Styela clava: one gene and its partners. The main gene of each other region encodes a partner of the protein of the gene in region 2 in a complex. Links are inferred from orthologs where the notes say so. Each region holds a gene or a part of one and is shown on either strand. Other genes may lie near its edges. The genes, in order: THO complex subunit 6 homolog, THO complex subunit 3-like, THO complex subunit 4-like and uncharacterized protein LOC120342097.

What was found.
Region 1: THO complex subunit 3-like (region 2) and THO complex subunit 6 homolog share a complex: the UniProt entries of both Homo sapiens proteins name them as parts of the transcription/export (TREX) complex. The link is inferred for Styela clava from reciprocal best matches to the Homo sapiens genes THOC3 and THOC6.
Region 3: THO complex subunit 3-like (region 2) and THO complex subunit 4-like share a complex: the UniProt entries of both Homo sapiens proteins name them as parts of the transcription/export (TREX) complex. The link is inferred for Styela clava from reciprocal best matches to the Homo sapiens genes THOC3 and ALYREF.
Region 4: THO complex subunit 3-like (region 2) and uncharacterized protein LOC120342097 share a complex: the UniProt entries of both Homo sapiens proteins name them as parts of the transcription/export (TREX) complex. The link is inferred for Styela clava from reciprocal best matches to the Homo sapiens genes THOC3 and CHTOP.

What each region holds. Positions count from the first base shown.
Region 1 is NC_135252.1:9,988,638-9,995,469, forward strand, and holds THO complex subunit 6 homolog, read left to right. Parts: upstream 1-4,546; 5' UTR 4,547-4,704; intron 4,705-5,001; 5' UTR 5,002-5,004; coding exon 5,005-5,532; intron 5,533-5,744; coding exon 5,745-6,197; 3' UTR 6,198-6,313; downstream 6,314-6,832. UniProt on the Homo sapiens protein: Component of the THO subcomplex of the TREX complex which is thought to couple mRNA transcription, processing and nuclear export, and which specifically associates with spliced mRNA and not with unspliced pre-mRNA.
Region 2 is NC_135250.1:23,430,463-23,437,318, reverse strand, and holds THO complex subunit 3-like, read left to right. Parts: upstream 1-3,839; 5' UTR 3,840-4,174; coding exon 4,175-4,348; intron 4,349-4,977; coding exon 4,978-5,134; intron 5,135-5,367; coding exon 5,368-5,495; intron 5,496-5,573; coding exon 5,574-5,650; intron 5,651-5,952; coding exon 5,953-6,114; intron 6,115-6,195; coding exon 6,196-6,313; intron 6,314-6,499; coding exon 6,500-6,658; 3' UTR 6,659-6,807; downstream 6,808-6,856. Other genes in the region: large ribosomal subunit protein eL27-like, read left to right, coding at 712-822, 2,226-2,274; mitochondrial inner membrane protease ATP23 homolog, read right to left, coding at 6,837-6,856. UniProt on the Homo sapiens protein: Component of the THO subcomplex of the TREX complex which is thought to couple mRNA transcription, processing and nuclear export, and which specifically associates with spliced mRNA and not with unspliced pre-mRNA.
Region 3 is NC_135253.1:1,065,846-1,072,640, reverse strand, and holds THO complex subunit 4-like, read left to right. Parts: upstream 1-3,859; 5' UTR 3,860-4,708; coding exon 4,709-4,823; intron 4,824-4,957; coding exon 4,958-5,123; intron 5,124-5,248; coding exon 5,249-5,435; intron 5,436-5,576; coding exon 5,577-5,712; intron 5,713-5,901; coding exon 5,902-6,059; 3' UTR 6,060-6,282; downstream 6,283-6,795. UniProt on the Homo sapiens protein: Functions as an mRNA export adapter; component of the transcription/export (TREX) complex which is thought to couple mRNA transcription, processing and nuclear export, and specifically associates with spliced mRNA and not with unspliced pre-mRNA.
Region 4 is NC_135252.1:15,318,157-15,324,038, reverse strand, and holds uncharacterized protein LOC120342097, read left to right. Parts: upstream 1-3,835; 5' UTR 3,836-3,989; coding exon 3,990-4,607; 3' UTR 4,608-5,350; downstream 5,351-5,882. UniProt on the Homo sapiens protein: Plays an important role in the ligand-dependent activation of estrogen receptor target genes. May play a role in the silencing of fetal globin genes.

The DNA of each region.
Region 1 (6,832 bases), on a different chromosome or scaffold from region 2:
TAGAGTGTATGAAATAATATATTATCTATTTGACTCTGTATTCGTGCTGCAGTTTTACTAGCGTACTGTTTTTCAATTTTCCTTTGTCACCTCTTTTGCGTGAATATTCAACCAAAATTTTAAAAGCGGCATAGTGGCCAGATGAGAAATTATATTTCGAGCAGTCGACTTTATCTGTCAGAAAAGTAACCGGCGACCATATATTATGAAAGGCATTAATACGATTTCTCTTTGGATGGGTGGCACAAATATTGGGTAAAACTATCGTTTTTTAAATTTTTATCATGTGTGGCCAAAAAAGAGTTAGTTACGATTATGGGCGTTCATCGGGATTGACACTTTCCATAGAAACAAGCGCATCTCTGCAGATTCCACAGTCTCGTTTTTTCACTTCTTTGAGCACAGCCTAACCTGTTAAATAATCGCAACTTTCACGAACCCACACGATACCAGTATTGTTCCACTAGCGGTCGGAGACTTACGACCTATCGATCTTCCGCATGTTCCCTTCACTCTGACTTAATAGCGACACCACGTGTTCCATCACTAATTAAATAATACGACATAATCCATCCAAAACCAATAGGCTTTTGGTCCGAGATATGATGAATGCTCATACAATATTTGGAGCAGATTCAATCTCGCTTTCGTAAGATATCGCGTAACATACGGAAGTGTCTAATAGACAAACGAAAATATCGGTCAGAGACCGAAGACTAATCGATCGAAAGTTAGCGTATCCCCCAAAACAAAAACTGCGGTTTCGATCCATCCGTTATGACTCCATAGCGACACCGTGTGTCCCATCACTAATTAATTTATAACTCGCTAATTATACGACATATTTCATCCAAAATCGATAGGCTTCTGGTCCGAGATATAATGAATGCACAAAATTTGGAGCAGATTCAACCTTGCTCGTGAGATATCGCGTAACATATTAAAGTGTCTAACAGATAGACAAACAAACAAATACCTATCAACATACTTACCGATCGAGATCGATAAATAACAAACAGACAAATACCTATCAACATACTTACCAATCGAGATCGATAAGTAATAACTAGGGCTGGGAATGGTTAACCGGTTAACCGATTTCATATGGTTAACGGTTATGATTTATTTTAACCGTTAACTGACATCTCAGGTACAAATCATCTTTATACCGTACAATTTCGTCAAATATGATTACATCATCGCAAATTCATCTTTTGCGGCGTTTAATTCAAAAAAATATTACTAACTGTGTGGGTAAGGAATCAATAAATGTGAAAAATAATGGAAGCACCAAGGTTGCTAATAATGAAAATTTACAATGATGAATTCAGAATCAGTTTTCAGAAATATATTGTTCACGATTTCATTGCAAAATCGGATATTCAATGTCATACAATAAGTGTACAGTTGATGCCGTTTTTCTTTATGATATATATCTCGAAGTAGAATTTGCACATAGAACACTCAAAATTTGTCGGGTTTTCTAAAATATTTCCACATGCCCGAACGACGCTGCCTATATTTTGCAGCATAGGAATCATGAAACTATCTCGATTCGTGAATAATTTTGAGTGATGGCGGGATAAGAACACGTGAAATTGTTTTATAACCATTGTGACGTAACAAACTGAAATTAGAATTATGACGTCAAACATCACGCGGCGGTTAACCGGTTAATTTTACCCGGTTAACGGTCAAAGTGTTTCCCTAAAATTCCCAGCCCTAGTAATAACACATCTTCAGACAAATTGGGGAACGAAACCTGATCAGCGGACTGACGAAGCTAAATCAAACAGAGGCTGCCGCGTTTCGCCGGACACAAAACGGCGTCGGATATGCATCATTGCACTCATTGTTAGCAATTGGGTTATAATAGTCAGTGGTGAGATTCAACAGGTTCGCACCGATTCGTTGTAACATACTTTTGTAACAGAACCGACTGAAAAATATGGCTTTTGTGATGGAACCGGCTGACAAAAAAAAATTGAATCCCACCACTGGTATGTATGTATGTTTGTTTGTCTCGTAAAAGTAACAAACGCATATATAGATTATCATTACTGAAGACGGGATGTATGCACAAGACCATACTGGCCTAAAACACGAACGTGGAGCATGCACCCCGTTTGAAAATTTTTAAAAAGTAGTAAATCGAATACATATAATATGGTCTCTTATACAGACAGTTGTGCAAGAAGTGTGGGTGGGTGTGGTAATAGAGGTAAGGGTGGAGTATACAAAACTGTTTGTACAGGAGTGTTTGTGAGAAAAGACAACATCTATAAATACGACATAACACCACACAAAATGAACTAAATAAATAATACTAAATTTAGAATTTGGACAAAAATACACCCTTGATTGACGGTATCATGGTCATGTTTAAACAAGAGTTAGTGTTCAATATCATGTATATGGTATGGACTACTCAAGTGTGATCGTGACTTTAGTAGACTATGGCTATTCTAGCAAAAAGTTTTGGTGAAATGGGATAAAAATATGTATCAACTTATCTCTATATTTTCTAATCATAAATATAATCAGCAAAGATCTGGATTTATAACAAAGCATTTCCCCAAACTTGTGGTGGTTTCACTTTTGGCAGAACGTTAAAGAGGTTTAGAAGTGCAATGCAAATGAGAATATTAATATATAAATGAATATATATGGTTATAGTCACATTGGTCTAGTCCACCTCTCCATGCATCCATCCAACTTGGCAATTCTGATTGGGCAATTTGGCATATAAGTGACTCCAACTATAATCAACTTCAAATGATAATACCTTTCTATCTAAAGTCTGTACTCTTCAAACCTTACTTGAGGTTTTGTTTGCTTTCCGATTCTATAATCAGTGCTATTTATTTTGTTTTTATCAATCATTTTATCGTCTATTATATTGATTATGGAGTCGAAAAAAATGATAAAAGAATAAGTATAAAGAATTTGAACCAGTTTATAAGCGCTAACTCACGAAAGCACTCTCAAAACAAGAGAGCTATGCTCAAATATGTGGAGACGCAGCGCCACCTAGTGGCAAATGTCGATGACGTCATGGCACACATAAAAAACGAATCCCATGCAGTTCACCGGGATATTTGAAAAATAAAAGTAATACCCTTCTAGCGAAAAATTTAATCTTTGAGTACTGAAAATTCCAAAGCGATTGGTCCGGTAATCAAGAAGAAGAAAAAGAGTACCAGCATAAAATGCAAAACGATCGTTATGAGAGAGAGAGAAAGAATTTATTGCTTTTGTCAAACCAGAAAAACAAAACGATCATAATATATATTCACAAAATAAGAATTCAGAGTTTTCGGTTTATGACTGGGAGAAAACGATACGACCGATAAGGTCATCAGAGTCTGTCCACTAACGTGTCCAATAACAAACAAATTTTGCAGGGGCAGGTACTGTATATGAAGATTTTTTCTGGAAGATTTTTTTTATATATGAGGGCTACTTGTATATTTGCAAAAACTGCCTTTTATTTGTCAGGCTGATTTATTGCTGCTCCCAATAATTTCATCGTTTACCTATTTTAATATTGGGTTTAAGTTTTTAATATGCCACAGTTGTTGTCTTGTTTGAAAGGCTTACTAATAATAGTTATTCAACCTAAATTGCATTTATATATATGACTATTGATCGTATGTTTACCAAAATTGTTTCTTAATTGGGGTATATAATAATTTTTCAGTCACCCATTTGCCAAAAATCTTTCTTGTTGCTTATCGATTTTAATCGGTAAGTATGTTGATGGCTATTTGTCTGTCTGTCTGTTAGATGCACGCGATATCTCACGAAAACGAGATTGAATCTGCTCCAGATTTCTCATGTGCATTCATCATATCTCGGACCAGAACCCTATTGATTTTGGGCGAATTATGTCGTATAATTGGCGAGTTAATAATTAAATAGTGATGGGACACAAGGTGTCACTATGGAGAGCGCTTTTTTGGGGGATCCCCTAACTTTTGATCGATAGTCCTCCGTCTCTGACCGATATTCTCGTTGTAAGGTTGATTCCTCTCTTGAAACAATTGTTTTACATGAGTACCATGTTGTTTATCTCCTATTTATTCGTACATGTAAGGCTGGTTCCTTGCTGATTCGAATAATTGTTATGTGTCCAAATTTACATTTGAGTATAGTAGTCCAATAGCCAAAATTGTTTTTTATTTGTGGGGCTCACTACTCACTTTCAAATAATAGTGTAATAGTTGAAAATTTGCCCAAACTGTTTCATTTCACAAATCTCATCATTTAAAAATTGATTTCACAGGGAAAAAAATTAATTACTTTTATTTACTTCATTTTTATGTTTGTTTTTTTCAAATTTTGTGTCGTGAACTTCAACCATTTTTAATAGCCATATTTTACTGTGAATTTATCAGCGTAAACTTGGAGGGGGCTGACTTCGATGACCGCATGGTCGTTGTCGTATCGCTCCTTCCAGTCTATACCGAAAAAAGCGTACTTTTTTTATAGCCATTATTTATTTGTTATTATGACTGTTTTTTTTTCTGGTTGACTAAATAAATCTCTCTCTCTATCTCTCTGGAGTCGAGGGTGACAGTTATGGAATGAAGCATGGGGATAAATGTCGTGTCTTGGCGTATCCCGCAAGATGGTGCGCAAGATTCGCGGGGAAACTTGATAATTTCAGGATATGAACAAGCCGGGCATGTGGAGAGAATTTAGGTAATTTTCACTCGGAAAGAAGGCGGTGCCGGTACAGAAGACGTATACGGACATGCGATATATATATAAGTTATGAGGAACTAAGGTCTTAACATTAGGCAGTATACTAGTGATACCGGTAATATTCACAATTTGCCCCCGCATGAGCTCATGTCTGCATGTGCCTTACTGCTGTAGTCTACCTTACTGACTCTTCTTCTAATGCTGTAATGTGTCATGCAGTGATCCAATTTGTTGATATACAATTCATATTACAATAAACTTAATTTACCTACTTATTTATATTCGTTTCTTCAGACTATGGATTCAAGACACTTGCTGTGTACAACTGTGTATTCCACTGTATTTTCTCCTTGTGGGAAGTTTGTTGCTGCAGCAAATAATTTTGGACATATATCTCTGTTTAATTTTGAGAAAGCAGTCACACTCAATTCTCTTAAGTGGCAAAAATCAATTATTACATTCAAAGCCCATGATGGCCCAATACATTCACTGGTGTCCACGAAAGACTGCCTCTTAAGTGGAGGAGTTGGGCCAGTGGCAGCTTGGAAATGGAATGATATATTAGAAAGGAAACCGGCAAAAGTTTATACTCTGCATGAACCATCACAAGGAGATGAAGGATCATTTTCTTCAAATGACGTAAATGTTCTTGCTTGCGACGAGACAAAGCTATATGCTGGAAGAGATGACAATGTAGTGTGTATATGGGACTTTAATTCTGGAAAATGTGAACGGATGCTTATTGGACATACAGAATATATTCATGATATTGCAATTATTTCTCCTAATGGCCTTGTTTCTGCATCAGAAGATGGTAGTGTTAAGGTATGCACTTAATAGTAATGTCTGTATATCATGGCATGCATATCATGATTTTTCATTAAAATTCAGGTTATCTATTTTTACCAATTTATGATTTTGAGTCGATAAGTATCTTGAACAAAAGCGACAGTAAGCCATTAAATCAGCCTCACCCTTGACAACATAACCCTTACTACAGCACTATTCCTTTTAAACTTAAACAATGATTGTTTCAGGTTTGGGACCTTCGTATGGCACAGGCGACAACTACAATTGAGCCGCATCAAAACAAAGAGCTAAGTCGGCCACAATATGGAAAATGGATAAGCTCCGTTGCTACAGATGATAATGGGCAGTGGATGGTTTGTGGAGGAGGACCGAAACTATCACTCTGGCATTTGCGATCTCAAAGTCAAACTGCTGTATTGGATTGCCCTGAGTTCACACCATATACAACAGTGTTCCATGAAAACTTCATAGTTTCTGGTGGAAATACAAACTCTGTACACCACTGGTATACCAATGGTGATGAAAAGGCTTCAATTCCTTGTGGCATTGGAACAGTCTTCTCTCTAACGTTCAATAAAAAGAAAAACACAGACAGTGCACCATTGATTGCCGCAGGAACCAGCCACAAACTGGATGTATTTTGTAACCCAAGTTATAGATCACACACATTAAATCTATGATATGCAGATACCTGCATTGCACATTTATTATAAATTTTCACAACGAGTACGTCAGCTTCATTGGCTACAACGATATACATAGGATGCAAACAATAAAAAATGATTGACTGGTAAAATGCCTACTGCAAATCTAAACTGGCTCAATACAGCTTCAGATTGATTAACACTTGACACCAGTCAGTTAGAAGCAACTAAGAATTTCACAGTGGCAACAACCTGATAATAATCATGCGCAAATCAGCTTATTGGCAATCAATGGATTGACAGTTAGTTGAGATTCAGTACTTAACGAGAGGTATACAATAATATTGGATAGCGAAAGTAATAGCAATTATTCTTGAAGGTTTTGTTTATAAGTAAAGCCACCAGAGGAAAAAATATTATATAGAAATCGTGAGTGATTTGCAACTCACTTAGTCCTGTGGCGATGCATCATAATATTAATACTTGATAAATCAATAAACACAATTAACAAAAAGTAAATGAAGTAAATATTATATCGAAATTGTAAGTGAATGATTTGCAATTCTCATTAAGTCATGTTACAAAATGGCAATGTATTATATAATAGTACTTGATATACCAATAAACACAATTTACAATAAGACGATCAAAACGAATGGTCTAATCCCAAT
Region 2 (6,856 bases):
TGTAGTTACTCGCCCTGTCTCGAAACGATATTTGTAATTTCATAGCAGTAAAATTTTATTATGAAGTTATCTTCATGGTTTTCTTATGTTCAAGTTTGACAGAATAGAGATGGAAATAATCCTAAAACGAGTGTTCTACATTCTAATGTCTGTTTATCCTGAGTCTTATTTGCAGCAAACGTAGCTCCAGGTGTCTCAAAATAGAAAACATAAAACTACCGGTACCGGTATTTGAGCATGATATGTGTATGTTCAAATTTAGTAACTATATTGATGGATCAATGGTTTGGCAGTGGCACATCCATGCATCTGGAACTATCAACTGGTTAATGCAGTTGTTCCCAATTTTTTTTGTTCAATTCCTTCTTTGCCCCATTGAGAATTATTTATTCTTCCCTCACTATGCATGTAAACTATTTTTTTTATTCAATGTTAGTGTTATAGGCACGAGTCACACCTTCGTTTTGTATAGTTTAAGTAGTTGATTGTGTGTTCATGAATATGTGTTGTAGTTATAGTAAAAAATATTTGTAATATTACCTCAATACAGAGCAAAATTCTACCTTGAAACGGCAAAATTTCTCTCTTGAGTGCAATTCAGCCCCGGTTGGGTTAAATATCCCCATTTCCAACCTGGACTCGTAGGTGTTCAACCAATTTCCATGGTGTAGGAAACACTTCTATATCGAATATTTTCTATGTCTACCATAGATATTCCGTTGACGTTCCCATTGACAAACAAGTTGTTAATAAAGAGGCAATCAGAGATCCTGCTGGTCGACGAAAAGCGAGGCGAGAAGTTAAATCAAAATTAGAAGAGAGGTTAGTTTTTTTCTTTTCTCTTTTTCACGTTATTTTTCTAGATAAAGGTCTGGTGGCCTGCTTTTTTAATAAGGATACCAACAGAATTATTTGATTATTTTTAACAAACTTTTTAATGCAAATACCGTGGTTCTTAAAGTGGGCGACGCACAAGCACATTTTGTTGGTGCGTCGCAAAACTCTTCTTTGTTTTGTGGAATTGTACCTGTTTTGTGATTGAACATTTTTTTATTTGAACAAGAAATTATAAAAAGAAGATTCGCAAGTAGTCTTTGGATTTCTTCGGATAAAAATTATCATTTCTTGGTTAAAAATTGTTGCGCCATCTCATCCCCTTTGCGACTTCGTATTTATGTGAAGCAGGCTTCTTTACCATGGTTGTAATCTAGACGAAATATAGATCTCGAGCAAATGTTGAAAGGTAAATGCCTGCGGCTCTCACAATTCAACCACAAGCAGTACACCCGTCCCATTAAATGCCATTTCACTGACTTTTGTTATGTTTTGTATGATCGTTTTTTCGAAAAAGGTCTTTAGTAAAAGGTATCAAGATGTTTTATTAGGGAATCGCAACTTGAGCATATTTTTCCAAGAGTGTCCGATACAAAGAAGTTTGAGAACCACCGCTTTAATAGATTTAGCAATTATTACGTGAATGTGGCTTCTGAAGAAGCAGTATATACAGGCTTCAGTACTCCATATTTTTTTGTTTGAATATGGCTCATAAAAAATGAATGATCTGTTGGTTTTAAAGAGTATTTTAAAACATTTTCAATACTATGTACATGTAGTATAAAACTAAATTTTGAATCCGAATTTAACTTTTTTTGAAGCATACAACAGTTCTTTTTTTTTTAAAACTTGAATCTTCATTTGTAAATATTATTACGGATAATTTATACTTTACATATGTCATTAGGCATTAAATTGAGTCCGCAATAATAAATTTTAAAGCAAATTTTCAAGAATTTTACTTGTACTTGCGCTACTTATTCTAGATTTGTGAGCCATATAGTAGTTCATGGCAATAATCAAATTATATTCCCAACATTTATTTACTATAATGATTTTTACCTCACCTTGCTGAGTTCATTGAAGGTCAACATTCGATAAAATTAAACTTTCATAGCGATTAAAATGAAAATTATCAATTCTTTTTATGCCTGATGAAAGTACATTCAAGTCGAAGTCGAAACCTTTGTAAATTTTTGCGATACCTGGATGTCCCAGACACAAGCTATCCTTTCTGCTATGTTTTTGATGTTCATCCCCAAATGGATGGAGATGGAGTTAGGCTATATATTCTGCTTATATCCTATTTAATTGTGATTAAACTTGTATATATTCAATTGTTCCATACATGTTTGGTGATAATATACTGAATTATCATGTATATCTTTCAGATACAAGACCGGCAAGAACAAATGGTTTTTCCAGAAGCTTCGATTTTAAAATACTTACGAAGTTCGAAATATATGTCATAAAACCATTATTGTGTGTTTATTTCGTTGCAACTATCAGAGTTTACGCATTGATCAATGTAAGGCCAGACTGCAGAATAATACGACTTTCAACTTAAAGACGCCTGGGTGGCAAACAAAATGTTGGCCTTTTTCAGGATAAAAAACAAGCTACAAATAGAAATTTAAGTGCCAAATCCACTCTCTACTGACGTAACCTTTGCAAGATAGGTAGTTCATGTTTATCCAGGGCAATGTTATAGTCTCTGAGCTTTTGTGAATTTCATTTGTTGGTTTATTCTGGTCCCACTGACGGGAAGAATGGCAATGCAGAAAGAACAAAATGGCGGTACTAGCATAGTGTGTGTGTCAGGTTCGACAACCAATGTTCCCAGATCTAAATCAACAAATTGGGAGGGAAAGTCTCAAAATCAATGTTATTGATGGTAATTATCGTATGCGAATCAGCCAACTAGCGTCGATTATTAGAGATTAATATTAGAAAATTACCATGTATAAAATGACTCCGGACCTTTGACCCCCGAAAAATTCTACCCATATTTTACCATTGCAAAATGTTCGGGGTTATTTTAAGAGTGTTCTTGCGAGTTGGCGCCAGTAAACTGGGGGTATGTGTTCCAAACCATCATTATGATTCATCGCATACAATACAACAATCTCTTTTTTAAAAGTACCGATAAAAAATTTTAGCCTAGGCTATCAAAGCTATGTCTACACTAATTTTTTTATTACAGCAATTAAATTAAAACTCCTAGGAAGACAGAGTAGTCATTGAATTATCTGATTTATATTTAAGTTTCCGAAAACTAACGAATAGAGTTCAAAAACAAGTTAATGTTTACGATCAGGCTTGAAAATCTGTCCTGAGTGAGAAAAGTATCTGAGCGGATTCGAAAAGGGAGCATTGTTACGTCACTTTGGGCATCTTGCTGATTGACCAATATCTCGAAGTAAACAAGGAAGTTTATTCTCGGGGAAAGGTCCATATATTGCTGCGAGCGTTTCCACTACTCTTCGAAAATTTCTCGTTGAATTTCATTTATTATTTTGCAGCTTTCAATCCATTCATGGTTGTTTATCGGTGCTTGTACACCATCCCCTTATATATCACCACGCAATATGGTGAGAAGGTGTAAGATCAGGCGAACGTGCTGACCATCTTATATCACAATGCAAAAAAATGGAATGCCTTCGAAAGATTCCTGCCTGAACATTCATTGATGTTTGCCATATAGAGTAATCATAACATTGCATTTTCTATAATATTCTTAAGTCTTGGCAAGGAAACGTTTTGCAGCTTCTGCGCATAACAAGCTGGAGTAAGTAAATCGTATTTGTCTCCCCCAAAAGGTAAGGACGCCAAATTCACAACTACGTTCCGTTCTCTCTCGCTATGAAGCTTTCTAGGTTTACAATATGACACTTGCCCAGTAACGAAAAATTTGTTTATTGACAAAACCAGATATATAAAAGTAAGCTTTTTACTAATGGAACATTTTGAGTGAAAACATTCCACAATAAATGCACGGTGTTTACTTGTACATTAGTATTTATTGACGGTCCAATTCATAACTATTCATGCATCAAAGCTTTTAACAAATCATTCATTATTATAATCTTCAAAAAACAAAAACTGTTTATTAACTACATAAATTTACTTAAACTAGGTGAATACCTACAGCAGCAATGAAATAGTAATAATTTAAAGTGAAAGAGTGTTTTTGCCTCGTATTTTTAATGTAAATCTGATAAATATAAAATGATTTATTCAGTAAATCTTCTGTGTTGGTATAATAATACCGGGTTAAATTGAAATTAAAATTGATCAGTTGCGACTTGCTAAAAATTAAAGCTCGCGCGCCACGTTAAAAATGGATTTCACGAAGAAAATGCAGCAATATTTTAAATTACACGATCGACAAAAAGAATATGGTGCTCATACATCGAAAGTCCATTCTGTTGCTTGGAACTGTGACGGAAGAAGACTTGCTTCTGGATCTTTCGATCAAACTGCCAGTGTTTTTACTCTGGATAAAGACAGGCTGGTTTGTAAAAGTTTTACGTGCATATTGTATCAGACAATGCTGTATAATGGTATCTTGGTATTGTGAAAATGGGGGGGGGGATTTCCCAGAAACCAGGTTTCTCGTGGGAAAATGCGATATAAAATAAATAGAAAACTTTCATTATAACATAGTCTGTTGCTATTTCTTCAGTATTTTCAATATTCTAGATGTGAACCTGTTTGAGAAATTGATACAATAACATGTTAAATACCTTTCTTGCAACCATTCTGCCATTAGTTAAGACGTGAACCACCCTACGACGACGAGGAGTCCAGCAATACTCTCACACATAACTATCCCTGCTTGGGATAGGAACCTGTAAACCCATGCAGATTAATGTATGTATGTTTATTCGTCTCGTAAAAGCAATATAAAAGAGTTAGTAATTATAAATACACAAGACCATACTGGCCTAAAACACAAATGTAAGGCGTACACCCCTTTTGATATAAATAATTTATGAATAAATCAAATGTGATGATTGTCTTTTTAATGCACAATGAATGAAAAGACCAAGCTGGATTAGATATGACTATCTCGGAATGAATTGTCCATTTAACAGCAACGATAGATATCTGTAGACTAATATGCATTTTTTTGTGATTTAGTCCAGAGATCAATCATACAAAGGGCACACAGACAGTGTAGATCAGCTTTGTTGGCATCCAAGCCATCCAGATTTATTTGCAACCGCTTCTGGTGATAAAACAGTAAGAATATGGGACGCAAGAAGTGGGAAATGCTCAATAACGATGCAAACAAAAGGTATTGTTTAATTAGCGATTTCAACTTGCTCTCGGGAATCTCACCAAGCCATTTCCCAGAAAGTAGGGATCTGATTTGCTTTAGGAAGCTGTAACCGACCATGGAAACCATCCTACGCAGGGTGATCAGATTTGCGATGGCAAGTGTATTCCTGATCCTTAACACATCGTGCCAACCACTGATTTGAGATATATCTATAATTTAGCTTGACAACATCGATATTGGTATTCCAGGTGAAAACATAAACATATGCTGGAGTCCCAATGGGCAAACAATCGCAGTTGGAAATAAAGAAGATTTGGTGACATTTTTTGATACAAAAACATGGAAAGTAAAGGCATATGAGCAGTTTAAAGTTGAAGTAAGTTTCATGTATTTGTAACTAAGCCAACGTAGTAATGGATATTTTTGTGAAATATTTTTTATTTTATTTGTCCAGGTGAATGAAATTTCTTGGAATAATTCCAATGATCTATTTTTTCTGACGACAGGATTAGGTACTGTTAATATACTAAGGTAAGCAGCATTTATTTCTTTCAAATACATTCCTAAGCACTATTACTAAAATAAGTACTCTTTTAAGTAGGTTTGGGTGAGGGCTCGAGGCCTTTTTTTCAAGCTATATATAAATGAGTGTTAGAGTATCAGTAAAAAGAGTAGATAAGTATTATCGGTATCTGGGGCGAGTGGACGGTGTGGTCATTCAGGCAAGGTCTGGTGCTTTCTCTTCTCTCTCAGAATGGCTTGCTGAAAACAGTGGGCCAGTGCACTAAATATACTTCAGGCATTATTTAACAATTTGTGAAATTAATTTACAGTTATCCTGACCTAAAGCTGATTCAATCGCTTAGTGGACATACAGCCAACTGTATATGCATTGAGTTTGACCCTACAGGTCGCTATTTTGCAACAGGCAGTGCTGATGCATTAGTAAATTTATGGGATGTAACAGAACTTGTTTGTGTGCAGACATTTTCAAGGTAGGTTTTACAAAAAAACTTCAAGCATATACTGCATTTTCAGAGCCACTAAACATTTTCTTAAATATATTTTTGTGCTAGGCTTGACTGGCCTGTTCGAACATTGAGTTTCAGTCATGATGGCAAACTTATAGCTTCGGCATCTGAAGATCATTTCATTGATATTTCTAGCGTAGCAACCGGTGAAAATGTTTGTGAGGTAGGTACTCTGTCTATCATTTACTTGATTCAGACACAGAGTATATGGAGGCGGAAATACTAAACCAAAATCGAAGTCGCTAGGGGCTATTTTTGCCCTATTTGACTGAATATTTTTCTGTTTCTTGGTTTAATTCTTGGGAACACTTGTGGATGACACTGCTCTCTTTTTTTGTTTGCCATGCAGGTCAAATGTGAATCACCAACATTCACCGTAGCGTGGCATCCTAAGCAACTCTTACTCGCATTCGCATGTGATGACAAAGACAAGTATAAACATGATAGAGATGCCGGAACAATTAAATTATTTGGTCTCTCAAGCGAGTCCAACAGTGACAAAAAGTAAGGGTTTGAGAGCTCACCTTCTTTTCGGAAATTAGCAAGCAAGACGATGGGGTAGCGGGAGCGAAGCGTACACTCAACACATATGGATTGACCACCGTGGTCAAAGTATCACGCAACAGTGAATTCATTTGAAATTGGATATTAGAAAAATAATACAAATATAGAAAACATCAGGTCATTCATATAGAATATCGATTTC
Region 3 (6,795 bases), on a different chromosome or scaffold from region 2:
ATTATGTACCCTTAATAATACGTGGTTAAATGTATTGAGATACACGGTACATATTCTTGTGTACTCGCTACGACAGCATATCGAAAATTATAAATATCCTTCGCGAATCTTAATATACCCAACGACGTATAGGACTCCAGAGCAGGCTATATGTGGAAATATTTGAGATGGTTTCATTGCATTTGAACCCACGTACATTTGAACCCACGACAATTGGACTTTCATACTATTGCACCTGGAATTTTTTTCACGGATATTTGAACCCATACTAACCCTAACCCATGGATTTTAGCACCCTCATGGATGGATAATACAACAGCGAGAGACGAGACGAAACTGATTTCCATTATTAATCCAATTAGCTTACTTAGATTGCCCAGGCTCGATTACCAATCAACGATATCCTGTGCTTTATCGATCTGAAGTCAAATACAGAAGGGCTTTTCGTGGATGCAACAGCAAGTTTCTCGTTGATGCAAAGTTTGAATAAATATATATAACCCCAAAAAGATAATCTTTTTCACAATAAAAATATAATTTAAAAAAAATAATAATAAAATAATTTTAATAAAAAATGGTTTCTCATCTCTCTTATATATTTATAATTTCGGCATGGTTTTCTGAAATAAGGAAACCTTTTGCGAGTTCAATTGACAATAATAGTCTGATCTTTAAACAGGATAGCTATGCTCAAATTTATGAACACGTCACAAAGTGTCGCTACATTTTTATTCTGACACATAAGTCTAGGGCTGGGCATTTCGAATCGAATATTCGAATCGAATCGAATAGTAAATTATTCGAATCGGTTCAGAGCTAAATTTCGAATCGCCGCCATCTTGTTTTTATCTTTCCGCTAATGGTCGAGGTGAATTCCCCAATTTTTTTTTCCTTGGAGTCATATTTTTCCAACGAAATTCTAACATATGACTATTTTCTGTAGTGAGTCATTGATAAAACGTGTTTGTTATTCTGTGTGAACGCTCAGTAATCTATCTGGGTGATTTAATATATGTCTTCGGTAATTCATGTGTTGGGAGCAGAGGCGTAGCTTAGGGGGGGCAGTGGGGTACATATGCCCCCGGGCGCCAAGGTACAGGGGCGCCAAAATGGGGCTTGCAAAAATTTCACAAGGGTAAAATACAGTCACATGCAAGATCGCACCGGCGGCAGACATCTAGTCTTAGTACATGGCAAACTGCACACTTGGTCAGACCACTTACGACTGCCGACATCATCACGCACATAGCTCGCGCACGGTCAGATTTCCATCGTAATTACATGGCCAAAAAATCTTGCTGGGAAACAAAGCAAAATTTGATTTGGTAACGTTAGGTAACAAAATGCACCGGGTTAATGACGTGGTTCTGTATCGTTAAGTTCTTGCCTGCGCACTCCGATGTAAGTTGATATTAGTTCTGTGCTGGAGACGAACGGAAACATGTTTTGAGTAATACGTGGTTTTGTATTTCGCTGTTGCCAAGTACCGTACTTTGCGGCAGAGTTACATAAAATATATTATACTGTGCTAAAAGACCCCAATGCCGTTTTCGACAATTCGTCGAGATTGCACAGATTTTGCAAATTTCTACGACACGGACATCAATGGCCACGAACTTTTCACCGAAATTGAAGATTGCAGAATGCTGCTCAGTAGCAGAACTGTAGGTCAACCAGAAACTCCTTTGGCTCTTCTTGGTTTTATTGTGTCTTTTGGAGACAACGTTTTACCCAATCTGCGAATTTCTCTACAAATTTTGTTAACAATACCAGTTTCAATTGCAAGCTGTGAACGGTCTTTCAAATTGAAACTAATTTTGTCGTATTCGCGTGCATCAACGGGACAGGATCGTCTCAGTGATTTTGCACTTCTAAATGTTGAAAGAGAAACATTGGAAAAAAACAGATTTTGACGACGTGTTAACCAGTTTACGAAAGTGAAATTGAAAAAATGAATTTATTGTAGACTATGTAAATCATCTTTGACAGTAACTGAGTGGGACATATGCTCTATTTTGTATAGCTTTGCAAAAGGCAAAATAACCTCGGCGAAGGATTTTCGAGTTTTTGCATCTCAGATTCTAGCTTAGCGCTAATAATTTTCAATTTATACTACTGTATAGGAAGGCGTGCACTTGTGAGTCCAATTCACCTTGGTTGACTTTTATATAGGGGTACATTAATGTTTTATTCTTTATATTTAACTTTAGTCTTATTTCGGTGAGTGTGCAGAGCGTGTTATATTGATGAAATACATATTTTTAAACATAAAAAATAATGTAGTTGAAACAGATTAGGGATTGTTTGGTTTTCAGGACTGGTACATATAGTCAAGTTGCAAAATTGCGTATGTCCCCTAGTAATAGACACATTTTTGCCTAAGTCACAGTGCGCTATTATGACGTCACATGACTGCGTCATACAAATTAACTTAAATCCGGCTACGATCAAAAAGTTTAACTATGGCAAATTAATGAATCTCAATGGCATAGAAATATCATTAGGAAGTTTTTTTACGTTTTTCTCAAAACAGCTAAAAATGACTTACGCAATTCGGTTATTAGCGTGACGATATATAATTTGTTTTTACATATACAATTAAATGCAATAGAAAACATGATTGAACGTGGGGGTCGGGGCGCCAATTTTATATTTTGCCCCGGGCGCAAAATACGCTGGCTACGCCTCTGGTTGGGAGGACCAATTACTATAATAAAATCGCTTACAATTATATATTTTCAAGTATTCGAGATTCGATTCGATTCGAAAAATATTATTCGATTCGATTCTGAAATCACAAGGTATTCGAAAATGCCCAGCCCTACACATAACAAACGAATTTCTTGAAGTTCACAGAAATTTTCAAAATAAGTAAAAGTAATAGCCTTCTTACCAAAAAATAAATTTTTAACCACTGAAAATTTCAAAGCAATTGGTACAGTATTCGAAGAGAAAAGCGATTCCATCATTACTAAGGAGAATAATAATAACAAGAACAACCACATAATATTGAAACGATCGTTATGTACACTGACGTGTCCGATTATGAATGTAGTATTTAGCAATGGCAGTTCGTTTACGTGCTATTAAACACCGATTGTTTTGCAGACTTGAATACGTCCAAAAATATGTTTTGGGTGTTTTAATGGCCGTAGTGGTGAACATAATAAAGTGAAATAAATTTTGTTAAATCCAACGAATCACTGTATGTGATTTTGAGTTACAACAGCAAGCGTACGCTAGGGTCTCAAAAGAATACGCAACATCATATCTCTTAGCGCAAAATATACAACATTTAGAAGCCGATTAACGCCATGAGATTTCTACTTCTAGTGGGTTTACCTATTCGTTATATTTTATCTTGTCAAAAATGTACGTGACAACATTTAATATTGGACATGAGAGACCAGCTAGTCGGCCAAATAAATATATTTTGAATCTCCATAATCATTCATCTTCTAGGAGTATTTGGCTCCAGTATAGGCTATCCCAGGCTGCCAGTTACGGCATTAAGCGCTTGAATCAAAACTAGCGCCTCTTATCGGATTATTACACCTCAAGCTGCAGCGTGCGTGTCGGGTTTTTTTCATTAACACTAGACATAGCACCTTTAATTAGTGAGACACCAAAGCATATATTTTTTTGCGCCACGAATGGTAGAATTACGACGGTTCCTGATACTAATATTTGATAAGTGCAGAGAAGTATTGTCAAGTGACTTCTAATCGATAGAATGCTAACGGCTTTTCCAAAACCTTTTTCTTTTTATTAGCTGGACCAATCAAATCCGTTTCTTGTGGTAGGCTGATACGAGATTATATATGTGTGTGTGGCGTGCTGTTGGATTAGTGAAACGTCGCCGTTGCTCTTGTTTGTTGAGTTTTCACGTTTCACTCCTTTATTGATAATTCAGCGCTATTTCTGAAACGGAGCGGGCATTAGGGGTTCTTGAGCAAGTTTTTACAATGTAGGCTGTAAGCAGGAATACAGAATAAGAAAATCGAATTACCAATGTAGTCTCGTTATTTTCCTGATATTGGAATGGCGGATGGAAAAGGTTTCAAATACCAGAATACAGAGATACTGAAAATTCAAATCTCTCGCTGTCGAGTTCTTTGGTAGTGGATTGTCATCCAACGTAGCAGTTGTCAGCACCTGCCTTCAATCTGTCAATACACAATCGCTGAATCGGTTGATCATTTGGTGGTAAATAAACTTTTGATTCTGGTTGACATCCTGATTTATAATCGGTTTGTCCCTGGAATTATAATGGACTTCCTTTTGTGTTTCAACTGGAGTAATCTAGTGTATCAGCTGGAGTTCTCTTATTTGAAATCACAATTTGATAATGATTTAAAGATGATGTGGTGTACTATGACCACAGTCTGGCGGTGAAATTTTCAATAAAGCTAGAATTTCGGCTTCCATTTTGGTGTTCAGTAGCATTCAGTCACGTATTCTTGGAATATCTGAAGTCTACTTGGCTGCTTGGTGGCAACACACACTAGAACAGCTGGAGTTGCATCAATTTTATCATCTTTCAAATATGAAAATGGAGCAATTTGATCAATTGAGGTTACAATGCCACTTGTTTAATAGCTTTTTATAAGTTGATTCATTTGTTGCACTGCTGTGTGCTTTAAAATTTGTGAGAGATTATTTGAAGAAAGAAAATTTAAAGCCTATCCAATCAAGCAAACCATCAAATATGGGTGACAAAATTGATCTGTCTTTGGATGACATTATTTCTCAAAACAAGAAGGGTAGAGGTGGGCGAAGAGGAGGTAGCGGTGGAGGAAGAGGGCGTTTCGGCGGACGGGGAGGTAATTTATCAACATTCTGACATTTATAATTTCACCAAATGTTCATATATCAGTATGAGAATTTTTGATAACTGATTAATCCACATCTTATACAATCTTAAAGAGCTTACTAACTTGGGACTCTTTTGCTTCAGGAGCCAGAAGAGATGGAAGGAGAGGAGGGGGAGCTGGTGGCGGACGAAGAGGTGGAAGACCTGCACCTTACAAAAGATCGGGAGGTGTGCCCGATGATAAATGGGATCATGACATGTACAGTGGAGGAGGTGGTGCAGGTCCAGTCAGGAGAACTGGTGGTGCCAGGTGTGGTGCATTGTTCCAAATTTTGCGCAAGTCGTTTTGTGTTCATATGTTAATGTTACCTCAAGGGATATTGTATTACTAACTATAATTTATGACCATCTTCTTAAATCTTTATCATGTTTCAGAGGCAATATTGGTGGAACTGGCAAACTTCTGGTGAGCAATTTGGACTTCGGTGTGTCTGATCAAGATATTACAGAGCTATTTTCAGAATTTGGAGCCATGAGGAAATCTGCGATTCATTATGATAAATCAGGTCGTTCAATGGGATCAGCTGATGTTATCTTTGAAAGGAGGGCAGATGCAGTGAAGGTGAATTTTTCAAGATATTTTAATGGTATTGTATCTTGAAGCTACCTATACATAATATGTGCCTGTCATTCAAATTTCATTACATTGAAACCTCACAATATACTTGACTGACCATTAATGATCGTATGTTTTTTTCTGAAGGCAATGCAACAGTACAACGGTGTTCCACTAGATGGACGTGCGATGGAGATCAGACTGGTCGATGGGTCAGGAAATGTGAGCGGTGGTACCAGGGCACAAGGTGGATTAGGTTCTCGTGTTGGCCCAAAAAATCAAGGTAACTCCATAATTCACATTATAATTGAATTAGTGGGTTAGAACAATTATCAGAATGAGTTAGATTTTATCCCCTCCTAGTATCAATATTTGAAAAATGTACAAAAAGCTTGCATATGACATCAAATAATTGATCTTGTATGGAGTTGTACTGGGGATTTTAAAAACAATTTGTTTCTATCATAAATAGGTGGTGGACGTGGCGGCGGAGGAAGACGAGGTGGAGGAGGTGCTGGTCGTGGAAGGGGTAGAGGTGGTGGACGAGGAAGACAGGCAAAAGAGAATGTCTCTGCTGAAGAACTTGATAAACAACTTGATGACTACATTTCTAAAATGGAAACTGAATGAAATTTGTGCAAAAGACTGCCTAAACTGCGAATGACCTGCATTTCAACGCAATCACAGTGATTGTTGTTCCATGCTGCCATGAACACATAATGATGTCGCCGCGCCCATAACTTTATGTATACAATTCTTTCTCATGTGGAGTGTGTGCCGGGATGAGAGATCATGGCAACACTTCGGTTTTTATATTTCATTTTACTGTTTAACAAGGCTAACTTTTTATCAATGAGGTGTCTGCTGCAATAACTGTTAGGTTTGGTATACAAGATTTGGAGTAAAATGACAGAATGGTGGGCGTTTCTCCATCACCCATATATGAGGTGTATGATTGAATTTTGCCTCACCCTAGCAATTAATTGTACTGTTTAACAAGGCAAACTTTTTATCAATGAGGTGTCTGCCGCAGTAACTGCTAGGGACAGAATGGTGGGCGTTTCTTCATCACTCATATATATGGAGGTGTATGATTGAAGTTTGCCTGGTCTAGAAGCGGGTTGTCATGCCTGCAGCATAAAACTGCCAGCCAAAGTATTCCAACATAGTTGGTAAATAGAGAATGAAAGCAAGTGAATTTAGGAGATCCAGCGATCCAATCGCTTTCAGCGCTGTAATCTGTCACCGGTCAATACATGACATCCTGCTGACCTCTGTGTTTACATGCTGTTTAGGAATAATAAATATTTTTTATTTAAATTGGAATGGTCTCTGTACTATATTTGATCAAAGTTAATATTTCAAT
Region 4 (5,882 bases), on a different chromosome or scaffold from region 2:
TCTCTCTAAATATTTCAATATTGGAAAATATTATAGGGTCAAGGGTTGGGGATATCCGCAATGCTAGCGCTCGTGCTGCAAATTCGACAAATACCGGTACCGTAGTCACTTTGAAATTCGAAAGCTCTGATGCTTAAAATGTTCAACAGTACTCACACCATTTTTAGGATTATTTACCTCGGGGGCGATGCCAGTATAGTTAAAACAAAAATATGAAATGTGAAGATATGAGTAAACTAAGATAATTTTTTATTATACCACACCTAGTACAGTACCGGTAGTATTCGGCCATTGGCAAATATAAAATTTAAATAGTCTACTTCTATCTGTCTATGGTTCAATCTCAGACGGGTGGACCAGCCTGGAGCCATTTGAAGGAAATTTTGTTGAGATTACATGGATAGGTAGGTGGCAAGTGTTGGATTGAGTGAGTGTAGGGATGTAGAATAATTTTCTATTCTAGAATACTTGAATTGAGAATGCTGAATCCCATTCTACAGTTCTATTTTTCTGTTTTTATTGTTATTCAAATGTGAAGATCGTGCCACCACATTCAGACATTGGGTCTGGTATAGTTTAGTACCACATGCACTTCTAGTTGGCCTGGCTCAACTATTTTTGCATATGTCAATCCTAACCCAGTAACCCCTACCTGGCTACGTCACCGAAAAATTACGTCATTTCGACGTCACAGTGGCGTAATAAGGCCCACCAAAGTATGCGGAAGGTAGTCCAAAACGCGCAGACGATCATCCGAAATCGAGCAAGCTATTTCTCTCGTTTTTTCGTCACAACGATCCCGATACCAGAGAGATCGCCGGCGTTAGCGAGTTCGTTATCAGCGGCGCAGATGCCATTTTGGGCGATCGTAATTATACTTTGACAAGCCCTATGAGTATGACGTGATGATGACGTCGTGGTCCAGTCTGGATTTCATGGCCTTTTTGAACGAGAAATCGGGCGTGCAATCAGAAATTCCCGCGTGCAAATAAGAATTCCTGGCGTGCAATTATAGCTCACGACGTGCAAAACAACTGCACTCGCGTGCAACTGACTTTGACATCAGATACCTCTCAATACATCCGCGTAAAATTACCGGTATCGGATAAAAAATACGTTGAATCACAGAAAAAATGGACGTTTGACCTTTGACCCCAAACATTATTTCTACAGTTTGTCGCTAATTTTGAGAGTGTTTGTGCGACTTTGGATACCGGTACTGTTCAGTACATCCGTGTAAAATTATTGGATAAAAAATACGTTGAACCAGAGCAAAATGGACATACTTTGTCATTAATTTTGGTAGTGTATTTACGTAGAATTAATGGATAAAAAATACGTCAAATTAGAGCAAAATGGACGTTTGACCTTTGACCCCAAACATTATTTTCATACTTTGTCACTAATTTTGGGAGTGTTTGAGCAACTTTAAATACCGGTACTGTTCAGTACATTCGTGTAAAATTATTGTATGAAAAATACGCTGAATCAGAGCCGTACTTGGCCATTGGTGCGGAGGCGATCTTTTCGTCCATAACTATTCTCACGGGATTCATATTTCCTATCATTCAACACGATATGGACCTTTCCCCGAGCATCGACTTCCTTGTTTACTTCGTGACATTGGCCAATCAGCAAGATGCAAAAAAGGACGTGAGAGGAATTTTTCGCGGTTCAAAGGTTGGGGAAAGGTCCATGGTCTTTTTGCTTCGCAATATTTCGATCAGACCAAATCTTGCAAGCTGGTATTTGTCGACAATTGTGGAGTTATAATATTTTGGCATCTTTATATTACTGGATTATTGACTTTAAAACCATTTAAACCGATTTACATTGGTGAGCAATTGCAAATTTTCGGCGTGCAAAATTGTTTTCGCTCGCGTGCATTTTTGCGGAGCGCTAGCGCCCTCGGGCGTGCACCTGCCATGGAATCCAGTCTGGGTCGTGGTGACGTAATTTTTGGATGGCATAGTCAGGTGGGGGTTAGGAATAACATATGCAAAATTCGTTATGCTACGCCCACTGGAAGTACTTGTGGTACCAAACTATACTAGACCCCAGACATTGCTGGATTGAAATTTAAGCAAAATTTCAAACATATTACTGTCTTGGTATTTATTGGAAATTACCTGAGCATTGGTTTTTATTTGATACCTAACAGGCATTCCTCAGGACAGCAGGACAATAAAATTCTAGAATTGTTCGAAATTCATGTGATCCCTAGATAGAGAGATACTGATATGCTAAATTAGGACTCGCATTATACATTTTAATAGTAAACTAATAATATTTGATCGAAATTTATCACAAATAATGTTATAACATTTAATGCCTTGCTTTTGGTTCACATCATTTTTTCGAGAGAAATCGTAGGCCGCTAAAAATTGTCTATGTAAAATGGAGTATGGTAATTGGAATAGAGGGTGGCTTACCCACTTTGCGGCCAAGACCTATTTGCGACCATCAACTTCATCGATTAAATTAATGTCGAAAAAATTAACGAACCGAGACGATATTTCTCACGCGTTATCGTCCACTTACCGTATCCCTCGTAGCTCTGCGAAATTACACTAAAATGCGGCCACAAACAAAAAAGTTACTACCGAAAACCCGACCGAGGAAAAAAAACGGACCCTTTTTCCATGTCGCCAACTACCCATTGTCCCTTTGAAAAAGCTTGAAAATCCATACAAATATAAGAGATAAAAAGATGAAACTTGGCAGGTGGGTAGAGTTCTGTTTCTTTCAACCATCTTTAAAGTTTTACGTTTCCACATTCAAAGGAGGGGGAATAGGAGGGTGCGCATTTCCAATACGTCGATAATAGCATTGTCGACCAATTCGCGACCACCGTGTTTTTGTTTGTTTGATTGCTGTAATGCGGTGCTTTATTTATAATTTGACGAGTTTTGTTCGAAATAACCTTGTTCTTAAAATATATGACGGTCAGAAATGCAATTAGAAGCTAATTTTTTTCACGCATGGCTGCGTATGCCCTAGTCTCGACGCAGCAGAAATGATGTTCAAGGCTTGAAATTTGTGGTCGCAAACTGGTCGTTCGGTCGCAAATAGGTCTTCAGAGTGTCGTACTTTGGTCGTAGAAAGTTAATTCGAGGTTTAGCGTGTAGAAGAAATGCCCATGCACCTACTGTGAAAAAATTACCAGGTTAGAAATATTGGTTTTTGTTTCATAGCGGTTTGAATGAAATCGACCGCAGACTGGCTACGCCACCCTATTGCCAGTAAGTTGGCACCAATGATTATTATATGTTCAGATGTTACTTTTATAGTAGAGATGAAAAACGCGAAAATTGTGCATTAATGAGATTTCGTTGTGAGGTTTCATCGTCTACTTATTCTGAATATGTCGGCTGAGATTACCATGTTTGATGTCTGTCACTTTTACGGGCTCTCCGAGAGCAAGTGCAAGTATAATCAAATGAGAGTGATTTTGGCATACATTGATTAATGAATTAGAAAAGTCAGCAGTGATGACATCATGTTTGCAGATGTCATTGATTTATTCATAAAATTACCACATTGTTTTCTTTGCTAAGTTTGCATTATAATCATGGAATCATTGGGAATCTCATTAAATCTCAAATAATTTCAGCCACTTACGGACTTATAATTACTGATACCAATATTGCAAAATTGTTCTGGGAAACGAATCTGGCCTAATCAAAATAATCGAAAAAATGGAGCCTTGCTTAGAATAGCGGCAAAAAATGAAAAAATTTCGCTCTATTTTTTGCAGAAGATTTGTTTATATATATATATAGCCTAATTATTATACTAATTTTATTCATTGCCAGATATTATTGTGTATTTACTTGGACAAGATTTATTTTCTCAATATTTTGCAGAATTGTGTGTACTGTAAGATTTAAAGTTGAATTATTGACCCGCTTGGAATGAGATAGTTTAGTGACGATTAGAGTTTTGTTACTTATTATCCAGTTATTTTTGGCGTATACTCCAGAAGTAGAATGGCGTCCAACCCACCTGCCAAAATCGTTCTCAAAAGCTCAACCAAGGTCAGTCTTAATGACCGTTTTTCTACGATCATGAAAACACAACGAACAACTTCCCAAACTGTGCGAGCTCAAATGTCCAATGAGAGAATGGCAAGTGAAAAGAATCGTCGACTCGCACAACAAATGGAAAGACGGCCAGCAGTTGCTGCTGCGCTTGATAATAAGCCGGTGTCGATTCGTGACAGATTAGGAAGTCCTCCAGCACGAGGAAGACGGGGAATAAGAGGCGGAAGGTTTCAAAGCCGTGGACAGTTCGTTCGAGGTGGTCGTGGTCGTGGAGGGTTTCCCAGTCCTCGCGGCAATTCGTTAAATAGAGGCCGCAATCCAGGAAGACGTGGATTTATTCGTCCTACGAGAACTGGTAGAGGGCGTGGAACGGGTATGAGAGGTAGAGGGCGTGGCATAAGTCGTGGCAGAGGTCGGGGAGGTCGTCAAGGAAGAGGTGGAGCTAATCGACGAGAACCTGCAGACAAAGACAAACTTGATGAACAACTTGACAGTTATATGACTAAAACAAAAGGTGCAATGAATGCTGAGTTGGACAGCTACATGGCCGAAATAAACAATTGAATCCAAGAACAATCATGTGATACTATGGTTTCTTCATTCGAGGGAGGCATCTATGCGCCATCCTTTTTGTAACATTTGTTATTCGAGTTGGTCTAACCACTGCTGTGCGTGTGTGAGTTTCAGAATTTTATATCGATTCAAGGTGGGTTATACCAAATAATCCATTACAAAAAGATGGCTGTCAATAGTCTTGTCTTTTAAATTAGAAAAGCAATAATAATCATTTTTTCTCATCTGGCTATCTACAATCTTGATTACTTGGTATATAGGCAATGTGTAGACATTTGTGTATGGTTTTTTTTGTATTTCTCTGCTGTCCGTATTCTAAATTGATTTTGTAAACAGCAAAACTGTCGCATTCCTATTTTTTTTTGCTAAATTATGGAATTTTTCACCACATAAATGACAGATTTTAGGAACTGTTTTGAAAACTTTTCTGAATTTGAATTAAGTTTTGGGCCAATGTCTAGTTGTCTTTAAATGGAGAAATTGTACAAAATTCTTGTTTCCAAAAATTTGATGATGAATTAGTTTGACACATATTTTATACTACATTTATGTTATTCCATTTCAAGATTTAGACCGATCTTATTTCTGGTTTTCAAAATTTATTGTGCTTCATTTGTTGAAATGCATTTACAATTATTTTTGATAACATGTTTATAGAGGTGATTGGTGGTGGTATATTATTGCTTGTGATAAATGAATGGACAATTGTAATGCATTCGCAATTCATTTTTAGAGTTGTATTTAGAATATTGTATCATTGAGAATACCTAGTTCTTTGAGGTGGAATCGAATCTATCGACATCTGAAATAATGACGAAGTAATCTTGAACATATTTCAGGAGAAGATTGGATGCGGAATTTTGTGACTTGCAATCATTCTTTGGGCTCTGAATATCTTGCTTCAAATACCTGTGGTGGTAATTTATGGAATGCAAGTCCACGGCTTATTTGCTATGATTGATACAGATATTGTTGCATGACATATGAAAACACACACAAACTATTGAGCAATTTGTAAATTGCTATTCATAAGCAAACACTACCACAGGTATAAAGATGTTTGCCCTAAGAAGCTTGTATGAAGATGAGTAAATTATGGACACTAACATTTGAAGTTAATCAACTCCTAGACTGAGGATGCCGTAATGAAGTGAAGAAGAAGAATTTTAAAGTCTTCAACCATTAAAGAGAAATCATGGTTCTGCTGCTATCAATAATAAAATTTCTTTTTATGTGATATTGCATTCAATATATTTTGCTATTATT